Arabidopsis thaliana: one gene and its partners. The protein of the gene in region 3 interacts with the protein of the main gene of each other region in a biochemical or structural test. Each region holds a gene or a part of one and is shown on either strand. Other genes may lie near its edges.

Region 1 (9,018 bases), on a different chromosome or scaffold from region 3:
AGTGGCGAGTTTCTTATGGGCCAAACGACATGTCAAATGTTGTGGCGGAGAGGGAATGTCGTCAAAAGATGTGTTCAATTTAGTTATACAATTGGTTGCTTGTATTCTGCTTTGTGGTTTATTTGCTTATTTGGTATTTTTGGTTTAGATTAGTAACCTAAAGGCATAGCAGATAGAACACATCTAATATCTTCTGCGAGACCGTATAATGCATGCATACATGCTTTAAACACCGAAATTAATTCAAGAATCAAAATGTAACTTGCTACATGAGTTGATATCAAGACTAAATTTCATGGAATTAATAAATAAAAATTACGGTAAATTATGATGTTATGGATCTAGGAGATTACACGATAACTAATTTTTTTTTATCATAACTTATGTTCCCTCAACGGAAGAATACCATTAATATATGATATATCATAATTATTATTTTTATTTAATACCATTAATATATGATATATCATAATACTATTAAAATATCATTTAAAATGGAACGGAAGAGTAGTTTAGATATTATAGTTTTCACTTCTGATTTTTGTTATTATATATTTTATAGATAAACAAACTATTCAAGTCAATAACATACTATTGCTTAATAATGCTCCTTCATATATAGTAATCTATTGTCAATGGATTGTGCAAGCCAAAGACATGACCTTAAAGTTTTCTTATGGTGATAGAGCCATGGAGGGAAGAGGCTACAAAGTTGATGTTGCCTTATGTAATATACCATCATCAGTGGTTTTTCCAAAATCCAGAAACTTGGTGGTGCCTTCAAAAGTTCTAGTGAAATGGGAAGGAAATGTATTGTTCCCGATGCATATACACGGGAAGAAACAAAATTATGAGAAGAAACAAAATTATGATTAAATGTTTAGTACAATAATATTAATTATTAAAGCAGTATCGTTTTTTCGATATCCTATGAATTATTTATTCATCTTTACTAAAGCTAAAGGAGAGGCGCGCAGCAACTTGATAAACTTATTTCCTACAATTATGGAAATGTTATTGCGACCGTTTTACCAAAATGGTCACTTCCACCGTTTTTCTAAAAACTTTTTTTAACCATTTTTTTCTGCTACAGTCTTTTACCAAAATGGTGGCTTTCTCAGTAGAATACGATAACATTTAAAATTTTCATTAAAATAGACAACTACAGAGAAAAAAACGTGTATAGGTTTCATTGACAAAAAAAAGGTTTCTCTGCCTATAAGCTAAAGAGTAGGAGGCATCATCATCATTTACTTTTCTTATGATAGATACGATTTCAGTATACGTTTTTTTTTTTTTTTTAGTGTACGATCAATTTATAAATAGGCATGATGTATTCATTTATTGTGAAGATTCATGCAAATCTAATCTTTAAGTTTGTTTGCAGTGCTATTAACGGCTTCGCACAACTAGAACCTGTATTCAAATTGGACCACCCTCCATTATACAAAACAATAATACCCAAATCTAACATAATATCTTATCAATAATACATATATTTCTATTTTATTATAATTATTGATATACATACTCCAAAATTGCACAACGTAACCAGCTAGCTCATTCATCTATCTTTCTTACTTTATAAAAATGAAACATCATTATTATTAGCCTGTTAGATGTTCCAAAACTTAATATAGTTTCTTTGTCCAATTAGATATTTACGAAATTTTAACTCATATATTTTTTTTTTTTTCTTTTTTTTTGGCTACAAACTATGAGACTTCAGTAAAGAGCTAAATTTTAGCAGCATAACTAAAACATTCAGGGAAAGAAAAAACTACACGTCAAACAAGAACCCCCTATAGTAGACAAACTAGACATAGATGGTCATATAAATAGGTAGTTGAAAATAGAAACTAGTCACCTTGTGAAAGCAAACGAGCACAAGAAAAAAAACTTGATAACATTATCATAATAATCTTGCCATATAACGTAACATAGGAACAAGAACAATCCATACAAGATCAGACATTCGTCATATTACATATTGGTCCTCGAATTTCAAAAGACTTTGGAGCATAGTGGCACCTAACTTTAATATCTTACATAAATAACCTCCCTACCAAGGGAAAAATGGAGTAAAATCTGGTCTTCTTATTTCTTATTATTCTTCAAACGAACGACCAATTCACGAACATGAAAGCTAAGCAGTGGTTTGATTCATCGTCTTCAAGAACTTTCCACACCGTTGCCTGCTCGTAAGATACCATCCTTCCCATGCTTGACGCACATACTCCTGCCGGCAGATGAGCATAGCCCTGTAAAACAAAATTTAGATTCCAAGTCAAACAATGATTTTTCCAAGAAAATGTCAAAATGTTTCCCAAGAAAAAACAAAAACCTGTTGCATGATCTTGGGGAACTCAGAGCAAAGAGCTTTACGACCAGGTTCGTCAAGGGTCTTGTCTAGCATTATGTCTTGAAGGGCTACAAGAGTCGTTTCCAGCATGTCTAAACCGGTTTGGTTTGCGAATGTGAAAACCGGTGAAGCCTACAGATGAGAATTTATGTCAGTCATCTCAAGAACATGTTCTAGTCACAAATACAAAATCTGAATGGGAAGCCTTGTTACTTACGTTTGTTTTGAGGGAGCAGCACAAGATTGCATCAGAGTGATTCCAGAGTTGATGCAGCAACGTGTCACCACTGGTTTGAGAATCAGATCCAAAGAGATCTGCACCAGTGTGAAGGCTACAAAGCCAAAAAGAAAAGAAGAGAAATTCAGATAAAATACTCCATAGATCATGTAAACAAAAGCAGAAACCTAGAGGCTAATGATAATGAAGTACCTGTAACTCCGGGAGATCCAACGGACCAGAGTGAGAGCTTCAGGGGAAGTGGGAACAGATATTGGACTGATATTGGAGCCAGGACGAGGAGCAATGGCTAGAGCAACCCTCTGAATCGATCCTACTATGCTTCGCACGTACTGACGTGCCATTGAAGCAACACTGTCTCTTGAATGGTTATCAAATGTGAACTGGAATGCTATGGTTAGTACCGACCTAAAGTTACAGCCATTTGGGTCGGCTTCACCAGCTTGACGTGTGGATCCTTCTAAAGCTGAGGCTAAATCCAGGGTACGGTTTGCAGATGCACCGTTCTATATGACAGTGAAGGATTAGAAATTTAGAATATTGCGTCAAGAATAAATGATTTGGGACTGATCCTTAAATGGCTTTTTGACATGTTACCGGAGTAGATTTCTGTTCAAGAGGTATGATGCGGAAACCGGAAGGAAGCAAAGGTGCATCATCAGCAAATGATTCATCGATAGGGGCAAATACAAGCTGTGCACAACCTCCAACCACATTTTCATCAACACCGCTACAAAGCTAGACAAGAATCAAGAATCCAAAATGTCATGAAGAGAACAAAGGAGCATAGAAACTTTGGAGTTAAAGTATGAAGTCAAACCTGTAGCAAATACATATCCCGAGCTAAACCCATGTCTTCGGGTGAGTAAGCGTGACCTTCAAGTCTAACCACCTCAAGTGACTGAAACAAGTAACCAAGAAAGGTTTCAGGACTATAACACGTATTTAGAGAGAGGAGAAAGTGAAGCTGTGTTATTCTTTGATAAAAGTACCTCTTCATGTTCAACTGTCTGCGCAAGAGGAAGAATGACTTGGTTACTTGGGAACCCCCCAGCTCTAGCACAAGGAACAGCAAAAGGACTTGCTCTGAGCGATGCAGCAGCATAAGCATCCACGCCATAATCAGCCCATTCAGATCGGTGTTCTCTAAGGAATCGAACCAGCACAGCGGGTGGAACGTTCTTCAAACAAAAAAAAAAAGATGCAAGTTAGTTAGAAACAGACAGAAACAGAATATTAGTTTTTTTATTATCAAATCCTTAAGACATGTACCTGAAGCAACATAGATGCCTTGGCACAAAGCACGCCACTACCAAAGCTTGGAAGGAATGAATTACCGTACTGAGACCCACCAAACTTCCCAGGGGACAAGTTTATCATTACAGTAACATCCTCTGCACCATCGCTACCCATTGGTGACCATCCATCATCCACAAAACCATTAACAGCATCATTGAAACCCCTGAAAGTTCATCCATATTGAACAATTAGAATAAGAATAAAAGAAATTCTTGGTGATAAAGCTATTAAGTAAAGTAGATACTTACCGACAGAGTCTTTGACTGAAGGTTCTTAAAACCGCAGGTTGGCGCCCTCCACCATACTGAACTTCTCCACTTGTTTCTTGTGCAATTTGTCTTACATGTCTCAAAGCCTGAAATAAGACTCCGAACTTAAGAAACATTGCAGCATACCAAGTCGTTCAGGTCATATACAGTTTGGATAAAGGTATTTGAACTTACAGCAACAGTCATTTTCTGAGCAAGAATCTTCGATGATTCATAGAGAGGCCTCATGACTTCAGGGACACTCCAGGCCTTGCAAAACCGAAAAAACAAAGTCATGATCATATTATAAAGAGAGAACTGAAGTGTTATGAACCGATTCGAGTTGTCACTTACATCCAGATCAACATGATCAACAATGTGGAGAATGGAACCACCACCATCGCAAGGACGGATGAGAAACCCGCTTGGTTTCATTTCAGCTCTCACAAAGTTTGAAGAAGGTGGCCCAGTGGGGCCACCAGTTGCAGAAGTAAGCGACCTTTCACAAACCTGAAGACAGTGAGTGAAGACAAAAGTATTAAAACAGAAACTACATAACAGAAAAAGCAGATTCAAGAACTCACCACATAGCTTCCATCTTCCAAACATGTGCTATATCTCAGCGTCCAAAAGTCACGAGCTGCTGCTAAAGTCGTAGGAGCATACATCTGCGTGTAAATAAGCTCGATCGTCCCACCGTTTCCAGCAGGTATCACACTCAGAGTATCCACACTTCGACAATCTCGGAGCCAAGATGGACGATCTTTGAGAATTTCAGCAACCTATATTTGTTTTCAAATCAAGACTAGCGTAAGCTAATGATTATAAACACAAGCCAGAACGTAACAAATCGCACTCTTTACCTTCATGGGTTCTAAACTCACGAGGCCGCAGGCACGTGCTGCAATTCCGCTGCAGTTGCGCGAAATAGCGACTATGCCAATAGAATCCGGACCAGGCTACACCAGCAATGAAGGTTCATCAAATAATCATAAACAACTTCATCTTCAGACACAACTAAAGAATAGAAATCAGATTATACAACTTTAAGAGTATTCAGGCCAGAAAGTATTACCTTCATCCCAATCATCTGAACCCAGTCAACAGCAGTTCCTGTAGCCTTGGAAAGGAACTCTGCTAGGGCCTCCTCTGCTATAGAAAGGAGTCTAAACAAAAAAGAACCATTTAGGTTGTCACAGAGTGGGAAACAGAATTCATTAGAGAGTTATAGAGCAGACAAGAAAAGCTCACCCTGCTGGGTTGTTAGCATCACGTTGCTGATGCTGAGGATTTGGGTTTTGCTGTTGATGTTGCTGACCACTCACGACCACAGACTCACAGCTGTTGTCTGTGGTCGTCCCAGAAGCCTACATTCCAAAAAAAAGATAACAACTTTCAAACAAAATGCTTCATAGAATTGAGTTTTAGAGACAGAAAATAGTGAAAAGTGAACTTTACAGTGTGAAGTTGATGTTTCATGTGGCCATTCTCATAGACCAAGTTAGAAACTTGCTTCTGCAAACGATCATTCTCTTCCATCAAGAGTTTGTTCATGGCATTGAGTTTTCTGTTCACTGTTTGAAGACGAGCAGCTTCTTTCCTCTGCTTCTCACGACATCTAAAAATCAAAAGGAAGCTTCGTTAGACCAACTAAGCCAACATAAAAGCCAAATGTGCATGGATGATGGGAAGAAATGTTAGTGGATGAACAGAGACAGACACCATTTGTCTTTATAAAACACATCCAATGATATAAAGAAGAAAAGATAATGTAAATTTTTCCCCTTTATCATATCATAATTTCTGGCAGAAAATCTTAAGCTTTTGACAGAAATAAATGTTGGAAACGCATTCAAAGACAATTTGATTAAATGTCACTTTCGTGAATTTAGATATTCAACCAACTAGATACGTCAAAGCATATGGTAAACAAAGTTTCTTGCTTTAAAGAGATTTAGAAGACGATTAAAACTCATAACAAAATGATCACTGAGATCCAAAAAATTCTTGTCAGATAAGAACAGCAAGGAAACTTAAATACAACTGACCAGTCAAAGAAAGAAAAACATTTAACATCTTCATAAACTCATATACAAACAAAAAGATAATCTAATGGTAAGAAAACAATTAATACAGACAAAAGGTAACAACTTTGATAAGGAAAGAAGATGAAATTTCACCTGCGGTTCTGAAACCAAACTTTGATCTGCTTAGGCTCGATGTTAGAGAGAATCGGACATTCACGTATGAGTTGTTGTCTTCTTAGAGAACTTGGCTTAGGACACTCAGTGTAAACTCTCTCGAGAGCTTCCACTTGCTCCGGCGTGTACCTCACATACTTGCCGGAATCTAACCCTTTATCCGGCGACTCTCTGTTCATCATATCTCTGCTCATCGAATGGACCATCATCATAGCTCAAAGTCAGAAATAGGAAAAAAGGACGATTCTTTTGAATGGGTAAAGCTTGAAAATTGGAGAAATCCCTAGGTTATTTTCAAGGGTAGGCTCTCTCTACTCAGAGAGCCTCCACTCACGTTCATGAGATAATGGTGAGAAAAAAAAGGAGTTTTGGAGAAAGAACAAATAAACAAAAAAAAAAGTTTCTATTTTTATTTTTTTCGGTTTATTTGTTATTTCTTTAGCTCAAGACAGAAAACGCCAGAGGGCAATGGCGAGAGAGGAGAGGAAGGAGAAGCGAAGAGATAAGAGGAGCAAGATAAAGGAAGCAAAGTAGAGGTCTTTATCTCAGACGCCAATCTCGAGATCCTTTTAAGACATGGTCCAAAAAAAATAAAACATAACTCTAAAAGAAATTACTTTTCTTTTGTGTGGCGCGAGAAAGACTTGCAAGAACATAAAAACAGCATAAAGGTAAAAAAAAAATGAAAACTGAAACGCCAGGTGGGTTGAATTTGATAAAAGCTTTTTACTTTTACGGTTTTATTTACATAGCTAAAATAAATTAATATCTACTGCAAAATCTCATAATAATTTATACTTTGTGTCCATATTTGTACTCAATGTGTTCACTAAAAACATTTACTTTAGTAAAAAGAAAATGATTTGTCCAAAAAAAAAAAAAAAAAAATGTAAAAAGAAAATGCAATTGAGTTTTATGTGTACTAATTACTACATAAGTTTCTTCTGGTTATAACTTGTGATGCAAAAATAAAATAAAATTATTCTAGTATTTGTAGCAATAAAAAATTAGCTAAGAAATAATTAAAATAAGGTGCAGGATAAAAAAGGGGAAAGACAATAAAGGAGAAAAGCCAACACACGCAAAACAGTCTCTGCAAAACCCATCTGTTTTTTTTACTCTACCCACAACAGTAATGATAAAAATACATATAAAATAACTAACTTAATATGGAGGCAGAGAAGACAGGCCAATCTTTGTTTTTTTCTTTACCTTTTCTTTTTAATATTGTTATGTTTTATTCGAAGAAATTGTTGTCAGAAGAAACGGATATTTGACGAAATGGGTATTTTGCTAACTTAGGGAAAAAAAAATGCTGTTGTCTTTAGCTCTGTGAGAAGGACATCACATAAGTTTCTTTCTCTTTCCTTCTTTCTGATGTTCATCATATGCTGATGCTGATGTATGTTGCATGTACAATATATCATCATGTGTATATCTACGTACATCTTTGTATGCATTAGGTTTATGATAATGATGATGATAAATGTTGCATGCATGAGGAAAATGGTGTGGGAATGTCACTCACCGAGCGCGTGAGAAGCGTGAAAGGGACTTTATTTTTTTGAAATATAAAGTTATTAGTCCTGTCAAAAAATGCCTCAAATTAGGACTTTTTGTGTGTTTAAACTTTCTTTTATGAAATTTGGCTTCGCTTTGTTAGTTTCAAAGCTTTTTTGTTTATTAGAGTTTTGGTTTTTTCTGGTCAGATTATGAATATATTCGATTCAAATTTGAGTCAAGAAATAAATAGAAAGAGAAGACAGACAAGTTTGGCATTGGTAAGTACAGTCTGTTTTAGGTTCTGTAAGAGTTGTACAAAATCAATGCTCGGACAAACGACTAACTTCTTATAACTACGGTCTACGTGTCTATACGCTAGGACAAAAAATAAATACGTAATATTTTTTTTTTTTTATATATACGTAATATTTTTTTTTTTTTTTTATATACGTAATTTAATACTAATACTGTACATAGAGAGAGAGAGGAGTAGGAGGAATAAATGAAGGTGGTCATGTGAAGTCTCATCATGAGTCCAACTTTGTGCATGCGCTTCGATTTTCTACATGGCAGATACCACCACACGTAGCTCCCTATATCCTTTTCTTCGACACCCAATTAACCATTTTTATTTCAATAAAAGGCTACAACTACTAAATACTTTTCTCCATCGAATACACGCAAAATAAATGCTTTTCAAGTTGTATTCTTTTCATAAAACACCACTTAACATTATTTAACTACACAATATTACGAGGTTTCTTCTCGCGCCACTCAAAACATTTTTCTTTTGAGTTTTGAGTTTTGTTTTCCTCATCACGAGGGATTATTAACTCCTGCATGTTCACCATTTATATACCGTGTTTGAAGTTTGAACTATGGTAAATGGATTTTTTTTTGGTTTTCATTGTTGTGAAGGTTTAGTCGCATCCTTCATTTGTTAATATCATCGCATAATCAAAGCAAATGAAAAAAGAAGTTGTAGAAAAAAGTTTTCAAAATTATCTGACAAGTAAAAGATTGTGAAAGTAGGTTTTCATTCATTTTTTTTATCGTGTTACCAATTTACCAATCAAAATCTATATGACTTATATGGATTAACTCTTTTGTAATAGAATTCCAAATGGTACTTGTTATTATGACATTTCAAATGTTGTTTTCAAGAAA
Region 2 (9,719 bases), on a different chromosome or scaffold from region 3:
GACAAAAGTCATCTGAAAATGCATTTCTAGGCCCATCATCACAAATCGTCGATTAGCAACCATAAAAAAAATAGAGAAACAAATTATATTGCCTTTCATTTTGGGTTGCGTTGTGGATTTCACAAAGAAGTTTGGGCCATGCATTGTATTTGGGCTTGTATGGTTTATTGGATAGTAGTACTTTGTTGATTTCTAAAATATTGGTTATCTTTGTTAAGTATTAGAATATTGCTAGATTGAGGTACTTGTAAATACCAAATATATGTTACCTACCATTTCATAACAAGTGTGATTTCCTGATTAGTAAAAAAGTTAAACTATTAACATGTAAGCAGATCTAATTTAATACAGTATGATTCTTTTATGCAATATTTAGAAGTGTATCCAAAAGAAGTTGAATTTCAACATTTTAAAAGAAGTATAAATTTCTTTGACAAAAAAAAAAAAAAAAAAAGAAGTATCAATTTAGGTAATCATAGATATAAAGAGACAGTCCTATATCCAGAGAGTTAGACAAATGGAATAGATTTGGTTTTGACATTTTGTCCAATAAAGCGATAAAGATCAGTTGAACTTACACGTCGACAAATGTCAAGACGTGAGAACAAGAACGAGGGTAAAATTGTAATTATATCAAACCACACGCTCGCTTGCTTTGAGCATATAAATAGGTTCTTCTTCCTAGCAAACATTGCATCGAAGCAAAATCGTAGGCCAAATGGGAACGGAAACGGTGTCGTTTAAGTGGGAGGGTAAGAAAGTCGCTCAAGTCAACGGTGTCACGGCTGAGAAAGTTTGGTCGGTTTTTTCTGACTTCTGCAACGTCCAAGAGTGGTTCCCATCAGTCGATACGTGTTACCGAGTCCAAGGAACCGATGGTGTACCGGGTCTGATCCGATACTGCTCCACCACCAAAACCAAGGAAGAGGGAAGCAGGTGGGCTAAAGAGAAGCTGGTCAAGATCGATCCCATTGGACGGTGTTTGAGCTATGAGATCCTCGAGAATAACGTAGGGTTTAGATCTTACGTGGCGACAGTCCAAGTAACGCCAGTGGACGGTGAAGATCAAGTGTCTCGAATCGAGTGGTCGTTTGTTGCCGATCCTGTTGATGGTTGGAAGAAGGAAGACCTCGAATCATACGTTGACTTTTGCCTTCAACATATGGCCAACAAAATGGAACTCAATCTGTAATATCTTTTTCTTTCTTCGTTTGTGTGTTTTTACCGTACGTGTAAGACTAGTTGGTGGGTTTCATGTTAGTTGAAATTAAATAAAATTGGATTCGTACGTTATATTATTCTGCCATTACATTTTAGCTTCGATTTTTTTCGTCCGTTGCAGCTGATTTGCAAACAATAAAAGTAAAGTATTTGACAAATTTAAAATATATTCTAAAAGAATATCAACCATAAAAATATTCTAAAAGGATGTGAACCACGAAGAATTGTTCTCTAAAAATGTATTGGAAACGACAGCATTAATTACAAGCGTTATACGAATCAAATAGCTTTAAGAATTTATTATGTGAGTCTCGGGAATGGATTCTTCGGTCACGTGGCAGATATTGCCATACGTCAGTCTTCTTCCTTGTCGGGCTTATTTGGCCTTTGTTTGGGCCGTCATCTTTAACAACTTTTTTTTCCTTTTTTTGACATCAATATATTAACAACTTTTCAAACCATGAACATGAACAATGTGTTTAGAGGATTATGTAAAAGTTTCAAAGAAGAATTCACTTGAACTGTCTTGGGCTTTTCACTTGTTACTCTTAGGACGATACACAAAAAACCATTGTCGTCACGAACCAAATTGTCTTGGGCTTTTCACTTGTTATTTCTAACAGCCTTTAGGCTTGGCAAGACTAGTGGATTTGAAGTAAATGTTCCAATTTTAGAAAAAATATTGAATTTCCATACCAGAAAAAATGAATTTCCAAACGTAACTTGCCTTATCAACAACAGGCTAACACAAACTAGAGACTAGAGTGTTGCAAAGACCATAAAAGTAAGTAAATTCTTTCAAAATTAGAGATGATATAACTAAATACAAATTAACTAAGAGTAAGAGTATATATAAATATATCTCCGGAAAAAAAGGTCTGTGTTTTGATAATTAAGGAAAAACATGGAAAAAAGGTCATATAAAAGACCAGTTGAGGAACATGAAGCAGATACAATGAGGATCTTCGTCGTCGTTCAACACTTTCCACCCAACAGCCTTCTCGTACGTTACTGCTCTTCCCATGCTCGACATGCATATTCCTCCATCCATACACATAAACCCCTTCACATTTATTATTGCTAATTAGTATTTATGATTTCATCAATACCGTTACACAATTTCTTTTCTTTTTTTCTAACTTAAGCTAACTAAATGCATGACTCGGTTTAACGTACCTGTTGCATGATCTGAGGGAATTCGGAGGATAAAGTCTTCTTCCCGTTGTTGTTGTCGAAGATCTTGTCGAGAGTGATATCTTGAAGTGCCACCAACGTCGTCTCCAGCATGTCTAAACCAGCTTGGTTCGCAAATGTGAATACCGGAGATAAGGCCTGAAATGATCAAAACCAGTTCACTTTCCTTGTTATAGATTATGTATGAGCATAATCGATGTTCTTGAGTGAGTAGAAGTAAGAAAATTACCTTGAGTGAGCAACACATGACAGCGTCAGGATGGTGCCAAAGAGACTTGAGAAGATCAGTTCCATGAGGTTTGAGAAGATCAACGCCAAGGTAACATCTATAAGAGTGAGAGATCCAGCGAGCGAGAGTGTGAGCTTCGGGTGACGCGGGTGGAGGACGCAAGCCACTTAGCTGATGAGAAGAAGGAGAGAGAGCAAGTGCGACCCGTTGAACCGACGCGATCACACTTCTTACATACTGTCTAGCCATTGAGGCTACATTCTCTTGCATATGCATCTCAAAAGCTAGCTGAAACGCTATAGTCATAACGGACTTTGAGTTTCCTCTGCTTCCACATGAATCTCCGGCTGTTCTGCTCCCTACGTCTAGAGCCGACGCTAGGTCTAGCGTTCGGTTAGGACTCAACCCCTCCTATACATAATTCGATTTATAAATTAGTATTTGATTCAACTAAAGTTAATGATTTTGATTGTTATATGAATTGAACGTACTGATTTGGAATCTAGAGGAATGATGCGGAAACCGGAAGGAATGATTGGTGCATCATCAGAGAAAGATGCGTCGATTGGTGCAAATATAAGCTCTGCGCATGATTCAACTGCGTTCTCATCCACCCCACTGCACATCTATATCATCAAACAGTACAAAATTATATATATTAGAATCATAAAATTGAGTAGTTGCAACAAGACTAATAACGTCTCGCTATAGAGTCTATCAATGAGCAAAAATTATCAAAATAGATATAATCTTGAATTGGTGTTTGCCTTTAGAAATGTGTGTGTGTTTTTCAAATGAGACCACACAATCTTTGCGATTTTAAACACATTTCAAAACAGATGTCAAAAAATTGTTCTATTTATTTTTCACATGTTGGCACAAATGAAAATTAGGTCTTACTTGCAGAAGGAAGATATCAGCAGGCATCATCATGTCTTCTTGGTAGTGCCCCAAGCTCTCAAGCTTAATGACTTCCATAAACTGGAAAACAGAGGACATAAAAGGGCATTAGTTTACTTAGTTTATTCAAAAACGTAGTTACATTGATTTGACTTTGAGAATCTCTTAGTAGAGTACTTGCCTCTTCATTCTCTATAGTGTGAGCTAGAGGAAGAATGACTTGACCACCAAAGCTCCCTGGGCGAGGGATTGGTAAGCTACAAGGGCCTGCTTTGATGGCTGCGGCCGAATATGCATCGATGCTATTGTCTGCCCATTCTTGTCTATGTTCCCTCAAGAACCGCAGCAGAATCGAAGGTGGAACATTCTACACAAACAAAAATAATATTAGTGATGGATGAAAGGGAGTAAATTGAGAATCTCACTTTGAGATTTGATGAGCTTAATTACTTGTAATAACATGGAAGCTTTGGCACATAAGACCGCGCTAGGCATAGAAGTGTAGCCATTGGCAAATGGGAGACTTGAAGTCATCATCATCTTTGTGGGAGAGGAGTTCACAAGAAGAGTGACATCATCGATACCATCACTCTCTAGGATGGACCATCCTTCATCGCTGAACCCATTCACTGCTTCGTTGAATCCTCTGACATTAACAAAAACAATTTTAGGTTTTAGAAGACGTAATGTTTTTTTAAAAGTGTTTTTGAAGTGTGAGAAGCTCTAATTACTTGCTAAGCCTTTGGCTAAGTGCTCTAAGAGCCGCTGGTCTTCTTCCCCAACCTGTTACGTTAGGTTGTGAAATCTCTTGAGATATTTGCCTCAAATAGCGCAGAGCCTGCAAACACCATAAGTTATTTACACACAGTTTTTTTCTTTTCAAATACATGAAAAACAATGTGTCTTTAATTAGGAATCTTACGGCCATTGTAGTTCTTTGGGCGAGTAAAGTGGAGGACTCATAGAGAGAACGAAGAACTTCTGGCACACTCCATGGCTACAAACGATTTCAACCAGGTTATTTGAATATATATCATTGGCACCAAAAAGTATATAATAATGACTAGAGATAAAGAACGAATTGTGAAAACAGAGGAAACACTTCAGTTTTAGACCAAGAATTAGGTTTCTTGTGTAAGAAGAAAAAAATGATAAAACTTGTGAGGCTACCTCAAGATCGAAATGATCGACAATGTGAAGAATGGATCCACCTCCTTCGCAAGGTCTAATGAGGTAACCACTTGGTAAAATCTCTGCCCTAACGAAATGAGGAGACGGAGGCATACTTGGCCCGTTTTGTGTATTGTTCAGTGATCGTTCGCATATCTGCAATAACATCTTAAATTAGTATCATCGAATGATCAAAAGAGAAACAAAGCATCGATGTTAAGAGGATAATTACCACAAGGCTCCCGTCTTCCATTACAGATGTGTAACGTAGCATCCAGAAGTCACGAGCTGGTGCCAGTGTTGTCGGCGCATAAAGCTTTCATGAGAAAGAAAGAGAGGAAAATTTAGTTTTGTGTGATTCGATTATTTGGTTTGTGCTGAAGATAAAATCATCTTTAGGGTTCTTGATCATCAATACCTGCATGTAGATTAGTTCAAGGGTTCCACCATTTGCAGTGGATAGTACGTTAACTATATCCAGAGATCTGCAATCACGCAACCAACAAGGCTTATCCTTTAGGATCTCCGCGACCTGCGAAAAAAACAAAACAGAAATGTGATTTATGTTCTTGGTTGATCTATGAGGATGTACCTATTAGAAAGAAGTGAGAATAGTACTTACCCTTGTGGGATCAAGACCCACAAGGCCGCAAGCACGAGCAGCGATTCCCGTGCATCCATGAGAAATAGCAACGATTCCTATGGAATCCGGACCAGGCTGCAGATGAAATTAGTCAGTAAGGAAGTGAAAATGATTGAATCATAGATAAAAGAAGACGAGATAGACTTATGAGAATTACCTTCATCCCAGGCATTTGGACCCACTCGACAGCGGTTCCAGTCGCCTTGGAAATGAACTCTGTTAAAGTTTCATCCGCAATGGACAATAATCTGGAGATACACTCAAAGAGATTCATTGATTTAACAAAGATATATAGAAGCTTTAAATGGTGGCAGAGAACAAAAACTGACTCAAAAGTGTGTCATGTTATTTAAAGCCAAGAATTGTTGGTTCTAACTTACCCAGCAGGACTAGCATCACGAGGCTGATGTTGAGGGGTCAAGTGGTGTTGACCACTCGTCACCACTGACTCACAGCTAGTATCTGTGGTAGCCAAATTCCCCTGCTGAGAGCGACAGACTATTTCAATTCCTTAACTTATGTGTCAACTAATTAATGTGAATGAATCAAATAAATTAATCTATCTACGTTTTGAGGATGTTGGCGAAAATAGCTGTTCTCATAAACCAAGTGAGACACTTGCTTTTGCAAGCGGTCATTCTCTTCCATCAAAAGCTTGTTCATTGCCGTTAGCTTCCTATTCACAGCTTGAAGTCGTGACGCCTCTTTTCGCTGTTTTTCTCTACACCTGTATAAACTCACAGCGCCAAGAGTTATAAACCTAGAAAGTTTCTTGGGTGTCAAGAAATGATGAGAATTAAGAAGAAATTGAACCTGCGGTTCTGGAACCAGACTTTTATCTGTTTAGGCTCGATGTTGGAGAGGATAGGACATTCGCGGATTAGCTGTTGGCGGCGCATAGAGCTCGGTTTAGGACAGTCATTGTAGAGTCTCTCCAGAGCTTCCACTTGTTCAGGAGTGTACCTCACGTACTTCCCGTTGTCCATATTGTGACTATTATTGCTTCCTCCTCCCATCTTTGATCCTCTCCGATCTCTCTATTTAATTTTGTTCCTTTATTACAAAAGCAAATATTATTTAACACAACCTAAAAAGTTATGTATTCTTGAAAGTACTGATTTCTTTTGGTATATTTCAAAGAACTTTCTTGATATTCTCAAAAAGATCCGTGTTTTAACTTTCTTAGTGAAATTTGAAATGTAATCAATGAATGAACGTGACACTTGATGAAATCTTGAAAAATCTCAAAGATAAAATATAGATCTTGTTTAAGATTAATAACCTATATATGTGTAAATAGAAAGTGATTTATGAGCTTAGTATGATCTTGTCTCTTAATTAGGTCTTTAAAAGGTTCAACGACGGTACAAAAATTTTAACTTTCTTCTGCATATTTATTGGAACCTAAGAAAGATGCAAAAAAATTCTCTTTAAGGAAAAAGAAAAAGAGGGGAGGATTCTTATAGATACCGTAAAAATATTTGTTTTTGATCACGCTGGTCTCTGGAAGCAAAGGAAGATATAGGAGTTTCTTGCTCTTGCTGTGAATTCTCACAAACCCATCTGAGAAATTTCTTTCTCTATCTCCAAATCCCTCTTTCTCTCTCAGTGGATGAGTAACTTCCTTCGGAAAAAACGGTGAAGCATGCTTCAATGGGAACTACAAGATTCAAACCTCAGACTCTGCTACAGTTCAACCACTTTCTTCCTTACTCTTCCTCTCTCTTACTTATCTCTCTAGATAGATCCACAACGTGAAGAGTCAAGATTTGCGAAACTTGTATATAAGATTTGTAGTGGGATGAGAGAGAAAAGCTTTAGTTTATGGGTGGGTGTGCTTTTTGTTTTATAATTTTTATTTTAGGAAACTAATAAATAGAAATGTGTGTATGAAAAAAAAAAAAAGAGACATGTGTGTCGGGCTGTGTTGAAAAGGAGAGAAGTGAGTACCCTTAATACCAGACAACCACCACTTCTCACTTTTTCTCATTCTTTTTTTTCTTCATTTTAATTCAATTTTGAAGTGTTTCTTCTGTTACTTTTACTGCAAATTCGTTTAGCCTTCCTTTCAAAGTCACTATGAGAAACGCACAAATACGTCACATCAACATCATATATAACAAAACAAGTATTGAATTCAAAACCTTAATTCCTTTGTTTTCAGTATGGTAAATTCATAATTTTCATGGCTATTAGTTTGCTCCTTATTAGAACTTCTTTTGCCCTTCTAATCCAATGTGTATGTGGCAGCAGGCGCCGCCCCAACATCTTTATTACACAGAATTGGATAAATATATAGGTAATGTACATCTACACTCTACACTCCACACTCCACAAGTTAAAAAAATTCTCACTTAAAACCTATTTTAACACATGTATTAAAAATATACGACTTTCTTGGACGGTTATGCATCGCACAACCACAGGAAACGATTTATTAATATACAGATGGCTAATCCAGGAAATAATCTTATATGGGTACAGTTATAAAAAATCAATAAAAAGACATCAGCAAGGTTTAAACTTGGGTTAATGTGGGGCACCATTAAGTAAAAAACCACTAAACTAAATACATTTTTAATTACATAATGCAAACTTATATAAGATTTATAGAATTGAGTATCGGGCACATGCCCCACCCAAGACTAACGTGGGTCCGCCCCTGTATACAGAAACATTATATACAAATATTATCATTTGAAAATTGGTTTATCCGTACAGTTGCAGGCCATTTTAATACTTTGGCGCAAAGAAAATTTTGCATGCGTATTGTTATACATTTTTCGACCATTTTTAAAAATAACATATGAAATTAAGAAGTGGAAGTACATATCCAGTCCCATTTTTAATTAATTTCGGGACAAAGGAAGGTATATAATTTAAAGAACATACCTTATAATAAATGAAAATTCAAATGGTAGTTGAAGAAAGGACAGAATGATGAAAAAGTTGCATGCGTCCTTGATTTCTTGTAACGCAGATAAAATCCCATGTAGTTATCATCATTATCGTCAATCATCATTCCTGATATAAACTTAGAAATTTTTCATAATATGATCATTGTTACAGTCGTGATATTTATAATGAAATTTTTAGAACCAGATGAGACATGCATGCAAAATTTATCGACATTGTCCCCTGTGATAAGGCACACTATATTCAAGCCCATGCACGATTTTCTTATATTACTCATTATTCACATCTCTGGTTCCAAATTTTGAGGATATATTCTGCGTAAGGATAGATACTGTGTTAAAAAAAGAGATAGATACTGTTGATCTAATAACAGTTGAAACTCAAAATATAATATTTAACACACAAAAAATTAAGATCTTATATATGCTAGTAGTATTTGAAAACAAAAAACAAATAGTTAGCCTTTATAAAAAAAAAAAGTAAAAAAAAAAAAACATATATATATATATATCATAGCTCAAATATGACGATTACCTTGTCTTATTTTTTATTTTAGCGTTTGTGGGAATGTGATGTAGTTTTGTCGTGATTAACAAACAGGTTTTACAAAAACAAAAACAAAAAAACAAAAAACTCAAATATACTACTATCAGCTGTGTTTGAATATATTAAAAAAATGTTTGTTAATTTTTTATGCAGAGTTTGAAGATAGTTTCTACTATTCACTATCTTATAACAAAATGTTCAAGTACACTATGTATTTATTAGTTAAAGCTAGAATAAATATGCAAGAAAAGAGTGAAAATTAATAATGTAAAATATTGAGCGTTCCTCACTTATAAATTTCTCCAAGTGTTTTTTCTTTTGTTTTTATCATATAACAAATTAAATTATCGACTTTTCACTATAATTAATAAGTATATTTTTGATAGAGACATCTATTCAAGACTATAATGTGATGATGAGGAATATAATATCTGTGAATCTATTTCCTACCGTTTTAGTAAGCTGATGAATCTTCTTCTTTTCTTTCTTTACAAAAAATCTTATATGTGATTGATTACCTCAAGAACTTTCATCTCTTCATGCAATCTTAGGGAATATTCAATTAAAATATCAAGTTGAAGTCTCTTTCATAAGTAACATTATTTTGTTACGAAACTTAGCATTTAAAATAAACAATTTTTGTTCATTTATTTATGGTTTGATTAATTAGTTTAAAACGCTACATACTTTCAATAGTATATTTTAGGCTGTTCACTAAAATCTAGAATAAAGCACATACTTAGTTGTCACTCATCATAATTCTCTAATGGGTCTTTTCTTTTATCTTCGATCGGCATGTGATTATATGTCAACGGTGCCAAAGGACCGTTAGCTTTCTATAAAGAACAACGGGCGTATGTATAATGTATACATGTGTAAATATAATTTAAGCAATTATAG
Region 3 (6,100 bases):
GTTTTGTTTATCGACCTCATATGAAGAATTTGATTTGTCATTATAAAATGTTTAGGAAACAAATTATTTTAAATCCAATTTGAAAATATTCAAGTTTTTATTGAAAATGTGAAGAATTGAAAAAAAAAAAGAAAAAAAAAATGTGAAATGACTTGATGTTTAGAAAGTAGTTGTAGGAAAAATAGAAGTCAAATAAAAGAGCAGAGAACTCGTAGTTTAGTTTTTCAAACGAAAATGAATAGTTTTTTGACTAATACTATATAATAATAACTTGTAGGGGTGTGTGTGATGGCGTCACATAGAATCCGAATGAAAAGCCCCTTGTCTCATCTCTCTGGACAGAGCCGCTTGAATCTCATGTCATGACACCTTCTGCCCTCCTTTTTCTTTTATTTTCTAAATGGAAAATATATATTCCAAACGAATATTGGGAAATTATTTAGTTTTTAAAAATTTAATTAATTAGTTAACATTTTATGCTCAATTCATCCATCATAACAAAAAAAAAAAAAAAATAGATATACACATTTAGAGAGTGACTGGAGTTTATAATTCATATTCAAACCCAAGAGTGTGTGTAAATTTGACGTAGCATCAATTTTGGTCTATTTAAAGCTATAGTATTCTGATATTATCCATTCTGAGGTTTTATCCAGTATTACTGTTGTTGAAGGAAATGATTTACATGACCAATATTATCAACAACTGGTTTGAACCATAATAATTAAATTGTTCAGATGCACATGGCATAATAATTAAATCATTTCAATTTAGAATGTTAGGATAAAGCTTTCATTGAACTTGCTACAACACATGTAGACTATATATACACAAACACTACTATTAATATTGTTTTTCTTCCTCATTTCCTCTACTCTAGTCTACTTGAAAATTACATAGACCTATTTATACTTAAGAAGTGTTTGCTAATCCTGATGAATAATTAGTGTCAATTCAACGATTCAGTTTCCACTTACTGTCTTACTCGATCGGAAAATATCATGGACAAAATGGGTCACTTTTGTTTTTGTATGAGATGATATATCAATATTGAATGCGTTTTGTATATGATTATAAAAATCGAATAACTTGTCCCCATGTTATATACGATACATTAGTTGATTGATATGCACTTGACAATATTTGATAAATGGAGCAAAGGTACAAAATGTTAGTCCAAGAATCAACCATATCCTAAAGTCCCCAACCCCACACCAGAGGATCTTTAATTAACATAGAAAATAGAAACAAAAGTAAAAATATGACTGAGAAGACTAACAGAGAGACACTGTCTTCTTGTAATAAAACAGAATCTTCTTTTCATAATAACTACTACAGTGCTCGATACTACTTATCTTCCTATAATACACCAAACAAAATAAAATACTTCCAAAAGGTTGGGTCTTCTTTTAATCTTCTCCTACGTACGGATTCGAGATCTCTTGCTCTAACGTATTCTTGATTTAAATCAAGATTGTCCAGAAGCAGAGCTTGATTTGTTGTCATTGTTTGATCCATTGTTAGAGTTCTTAGTTTTGGAGAGTTTCTGTTTGAGTTGAAACAAAAGCTGTTGGTTCTCTTGATTCAGAAGCTCAGCTTTCTTCCTTAGTCTCTCGTTCTCTTTCATTATGTAACAGTTTTCAACAAACAGCTTCGAGTTTAGCCTCTCCATTTCTGCTTTCTTGCTACAAGTAAAACAAAACAAAAGTATTATTACGAATTTTGAAAAATAAATGAGAAAAAGAGAGTAATAATATCAATAAAACCAAAGCTTGTGTTATGATTATTATTGTTCATGTTAAATCATTACATCACACATGGGTTGTGCAGCTTCACACGTCGGATGTGAATTACATTAGCTATAGGAAAAATCATTTGTCGCATTTATTTCGTTTTCATGTGAATTTCTTTTTCTTCTTTTTATGAAATCAATGATCAAAGAGAGAAGAAGAACATGATTATAAATTTGTATGGAGGATAAAAAGATAAAGCTAATAAAGAGAAAGAAATTGAAGAAAAGAGATAAAAACAAGTAATCATGATGATATATATGCAGTAATTATAAATGTTTTAACCTCTATGGACAGAGAGAGTAATGATTATATTTGAAACGCTAGAAAAAAACAGAGTAAGCAACAAAACAAAGATGGTGATCGTAGCAATACAGACTATTAAAAAGAAAAATCAAACAATTTTTTTTATTTATTTCGGTTGCCTCAAAGAAAAAGATAAAGATTAAAAACTTTCCATCATTGAGGAATATTTTAAAAGATGAAAAAGTTTTAACATAGAAAAAGAGAGAAATTAAGGGTTTGTCTTCACGTTAGTTGTACGTGTGACGTTACTACATAACTATTATCTTAACGTATGAACGCAAAAGCGATAGATAACAGAGCAAGAAACAGAAACAGAGCATGTCGAGAAAACTCACGTTAAGCTTCTAGAACAGTAAGAGAGTGAGAGAGAGAGAAGGAGAATAGAGGTTATACCTTTTGGGAAGGAGTGTTGAGAAGCAGAGATAACGAAGAAAGATTGAGAGAGAGAAGAGAGACGCTAGTTTGTGTGTGTAGAGAAGGTAGAGGGACAAAGAGAACAAAGTGAGACACTGTCTGTTATATAGATCCCCAAAAGCTAAAGAGAAAGAGAAAGAACCTTCTCTCTCCTGACACAACAATCATGCATTGTGTTGTGTTTCTGCATAGATGGCGGCCGCAAGAAGAGAGAGAGAGAGAGGAGATTTGTGCATATTGCGTCATGTGAATGATGATGATTTATTAAAGAGAAAGAAGTTAGAGAGAGAGAAGAAAAAAAAAAGGAGTTTTCTTGCTTGCTCTTCTTTCGAAATTGATCTTCAGGGATATTTTCGTAATTTCCGAAAGATCCCCTAGCACTTCCTTTGGCTCTTCATCGTATTCGTCCTCTAAACAGAAGATTCGGTTAAAAGAACTAGAGTAAGGGTATTTACGTCATTACGAAGGAAGTAGTACAGAGGAGGGTAATATTGTCATTTGTGTAGGACTAATGAGAGGGGCTATAGTAGAAGAGGCCATCGACCTCTAAAGATTCGCAATGATGGTAAAGATTGGTTCGAACCATCATCCTTCATGATTCTATTTCAACCGTTTTGGACCATTTTGTAAATGCTCTCTTTCCCCATCTCATGTCCCGGTTAGCTCAATCTTGGTTTAGTTCAAATATTACACTCCACCATTATTATGTTTTAGATTATTATTTCGGATACAAATAGTTTCCTTTGTGTGTTAAACTATTTGTTACTTTTTTCTTTGTATGAAAATCATAGTATACCACAATTTGAAAATGCATTTTTTTGTCCTCTTATATTGTCTCAGCATTCAAGATTTGATATAATTATGGTGGGAGAAGAAAAAAAGAAAGAAATAATGAAGAAGAAGAGTGTTTGGACTTTGGAGCCGTAAAACCTACAAAAAATAATCATGGATCAAAAGTGTTGTAGAACGTGAAACATCATAAACAGTGAGGTGGTTGTTTTTGGATGTATTTATGACTTCTCTTTTTTTCGTAACTTCACATGCCTTTGAATAAAACTCGTTCGTTTGCCCATGACTTAACCCCCAAAAAGAAGATGACTACAATTTCACGTTTATTTAAAACTACTTTGGCTTGTGTATATAAATCTTGTACGGCTTCTTTTAACCCTTCTTTCACGGAATAAATGTGAGAAATTGTGTTTTTTGTAAATATGCTGATTGTAGAAGTTAAACAAAACTGAAACACAATTAGTATTAAGTAGGTGTGTCTTGAAATGGAACTAAAGAGTGGGTACACTTGCTTACACCAAAGGCAATGATTTTAAAGGTGTGAGCAGCTTCATTTCTTGCTGGCCTATGCAATGCCGTTTCTACCCCTCATTGCTTTGGTCTAAGTTTGACAATTCGGTTTGGTGTTGATTTTTATTTATAAAATGAAACTTTAATTTATAAATATAGTTGGTTCTAGGATTAATTTTGGTTAATCATAACCCAGTCGGACCAATTTTCACACCCCAAAAAGGTTGAAAACTTTGTCTCTTTACCATGTAAATTTCAAAAACCTAAGAATATTCAAATATTCGGTTTTGGTAACCCCTATTAATGTAGTAAATGTTTGGTATAGAATATTAGATTACCATTCAGAGAAACTATATTTCGCTTTTATTAATTAATTGGAATTTTCTAGTTATTTTCTCCTTTGTTAATCTAACCTAATCTTTTTTGAACTTTATAATATAAACACAAACGAATTAAAAAAATATACCGTAATTTAACTGATTAAAAGTCTATATAAGTTTGTGTTTATATGACGTATATTTCATTTTGCTACGTACTACTGTATGTATACATTCATGTTGTATGATGGAGCATGCCTCTTTTGCACAAGAAAAGTACTGAAATCTCTTTATTTGAAGGAGTCCACATCCACCTCGAAGGCGATGTGCGCAGTGGTTCGATTGCTATACCCGAGATTGATTTACCGGCGATTGATGTCGCATCATCTGCTGCGTCGGTGGTGGCGGAAGAGTTAGGTAAATCAAATCTCACATAAATGATTCTCTGTTCTATTCTCCATTCTTCGTTCTTCTGATTGTTTTTTTAGGTTTTTGGTGGTTAGATGTTTGCGCCAGACGATTCAGAATTCATAAGGTGTAAAGTGTGTTCATATTAGACTGCATGCAAACATTATCATTGCACATCTTAACTTTTAAATAAAGGACTACTACAGATGTTTGGATGGACTACTACAGAAGTAATTTTCATTTAAATATGGATAAATATCGACGCTCACGATTCAACAAGCAAATCTAGTTTGATATGAATTAGCAATATGCAAAAAGTGATAAGGATTTGAAAAGTTGAAAAGCAACAAAGAAAATATAACAACTTAAAATATAAATGAGATATAATTCTTAATTGACTTGGTATCAAAACATTTGTGTCCTGTTTTGATATTGTTGTCAATACTCAATACTATATATAAGTACTTTTAGTATCTACGATTCTACATCGACATTTAACATATAATCTTATAGAATCAATGATGAGGAACAAGTCCTAACCACATTCAAGAATACGAACCGAGGGGGTCTAAATCTTACAAGATGAATCGGCTAAGAGACTGGTTAACCAAACCGAATCCTTTTCAACCGACACATCATCGTCGTTCCTGTGCCATTCCCAACGTGCATGAGTCGCATTCTCGACCACCAATTGACCATGCCCGAAACTTGCTTCTCTAAACAATGATATTTCGGGATTTGGATCTCTATACCTATGATGATTATCAAAAACATTAACATTTAATTAGTTTCATTTTCAAATTTTGTTTATAAAAAATCTCATTTAACGAAGATCTTACTTGGTAGCAAGGCCTTCTAGATTCCCACCATCTCCGATGTTAATATAAACCGGACCACATTTGTCGAACTTATCTTGGTACACTCGACTCTGTCAAATAAACACACAAATTAGCTCTATATATATAAAAAAAAATCAATGCAGTTTTTTAATGAAACCCTTTAGACTTACAAAACGCTCGTAAGCATGAACGTGACCTGCAAAAACCAAATCGACACGAGCTTTGTAAAGAAGAGTTTCCATGGATTCTTTCATCTCCACACTCTCTTTCTCTCCTTGGTGAGCTTCGTTGGAGTTGTACCAAGGCGCATGCACCACAGCCACAACCCACGGTGTGGTCTTACGGTCGATTTTCTTGAGATTATTTTCTAACCATTGGTACTGCTCCGAGCCAGGCTCAAAATCTGTGTATGACCCCAACATTATAATGTGGACTCCATAAACGTTGAAAGAATAGTACAAATTCGAGCTCGAGCCACTCTCTTCAAATGGCATGCGCCACCTGTAACGTGTATACAAAAATATCTAAAATTAGCATAACAAAGTTCTTTTAATAATAAAAAGTAGACCATAATAAAACTGATAAACCCAAAATTAATACAATAAATAAGGAGCTTAAAAAGAAAAGTAGGTTTGGTTGTTGGCTAGACAAATCGAAATAACTTACCTCTTGTTATAGGCGGTGAATGGGTTACTGTGTAAGATAGGTATTTTTTCGAGCTCGTGGT

What was found. Proteins that work in one complex are often made in the same cells at the same time.
Region 1: the proteins of ZPR3 (region 3) and PHB form a complex in vitro, tested with the Arabidopsis thaliana proteins (one study listed by BioGRID).
Region 2: the proteins of ZPR3 (region 3) and HB-8 form a complex in vitro, tested with the Arabidopsis thaliana proteins (one study listed by BioGRID).

The regions. Positions count from the first base shown.
Region 1 is NC_003071.7:14,637,434-14,646,451, forward strand, and holds PHB (Homeobox-leucine zipper family protein / lipid-binding START domain-containing protein), read right to left. Parts: upstream 6,923-9,018; 5' UTR 6,561-6,922; coding exon 6,328-6,560; intron 5,766-6,327; coding exon 5,606-5,765; intron 5,515-5,605; coding exon 5,399-5,514; intron 5,314-5,398; coding exon 5,223-5,313; intron 5,107-5,222; coding exon 5,011-5,106; intron 4,930-5,010; coding exon 4,732-4,929; intron 4,658-4,731; coding exon 4,502-4,657; intron 4,418-4,501; coding exon 4,343-4,417; intron 4,255-4,342; coding exon 4,148-4,254; intron 4,063-4,147; coding exon 3,873-4,062; intron 3,782-3,872; coding exon 3,593-3,781; intron 3,502-3,592; coding exon 3,421-3,501; intron 3,339-3,420; coding exon 3,198-3,338; intron 3,107-3,197; coding exon 2,793-3,106; intron 2,695-2,792; coding exon 2,580-2,694; intron 2,495-2,579; coding exon 2,345-2,494; intron 2,262-2,344; coding exon 2,115-2,261; 3' UTR 1,890-2,114; downstream 1-1,889. UniProt on the Arabidopsis thaliana protein: Probable transcription factor involved in the determination of adaxial-abaxial polarity in ovule primordium. Specifies adaxial leaf fates.
Region 2 is NC_003075.7:15,861,450-15,871,168, forward strand, and holds HB-8 (homeobox-leucine zipper protein ATHB-8), read right to left. Parts: upstream 7,202-9,719; 5' UTR 6,828-7,201; intron 6,411-6,827; 5' UTR 6,374-6,410; coding exon 6,171-6,373; intron 6,085-6,170; coding exon 5,925-6,084; intron 5,842-5,924; coding exon 5,738-5,841; intron 5,606-5,737; coding exon 5,515-5,605; intron 5,433-5,514; coding exon 5,337-5,432; intron 5,247-5,336; coding exon 5,133-5,246; intron 5,031-5,132; coding exon 4,947-5,030; intron 4,871-4,946; coding exon 4,715-4,870; intron 4,542-4,714; coding exon 4,467-4,541; intron 4,383-4,466; coding exon 4,276-4,382; intron 4,191-4,275; coding exon 3,995-4,190; intron 3,912-3,994; coding exon 3,726-3,911; intron 3,626-3,725; coding exon 3,545-3,625; intron 3,271-3,544; coding exon 3,136-3,270; intron 3,056-3,135; coding exon 2,645-3,055; intron 2,554-2,644; coding exon 2,398-2,553; intron 2,285-2,397; coding exon 2,138-2,284; 3' UTR 1,890-2,137; downstream 1-1,889. Other genes in the region: AT4G32870 (Polyketide cyclase/dehydrase and lipid transport superfamily protein), read left to right, coding at 719-1,192. UniProt on the Arabidopsis thaliana protein: Probable transcription factor involved in the regulation of vascular development. May promote differentiation of precambial and cambial cells.
Region 3 is NC_003074.8:19,556,423-19,562,522, forward strand, and holds ZPR3 (binding protein), read right to left. Parts: upstream 2,902-6,100; 5' UTR 2,490-2,901; intron 1,686-2,489; 5' UTR 1,673-1,685; coding exon 1,469-1,672; 3' UTR 1,094-1,468; downstream 1-1,093. Other genes in the region: PAP20 (Purple acid phosphatases superfamily protein), read right to left, coding at 5,103-5,286, 5,374-5,462, 5,544-5,874, 6,040-6,100. UniProt on the Arabidopsis thaliana protein: Competitive inhibitor of the HD-ZIPIII transcription factors in shoot apical meristem (SAM) development. Acts by forming non-functional heterodimers. Part of a negative feedback loop. Involved in SAM development and lateral organ patterning.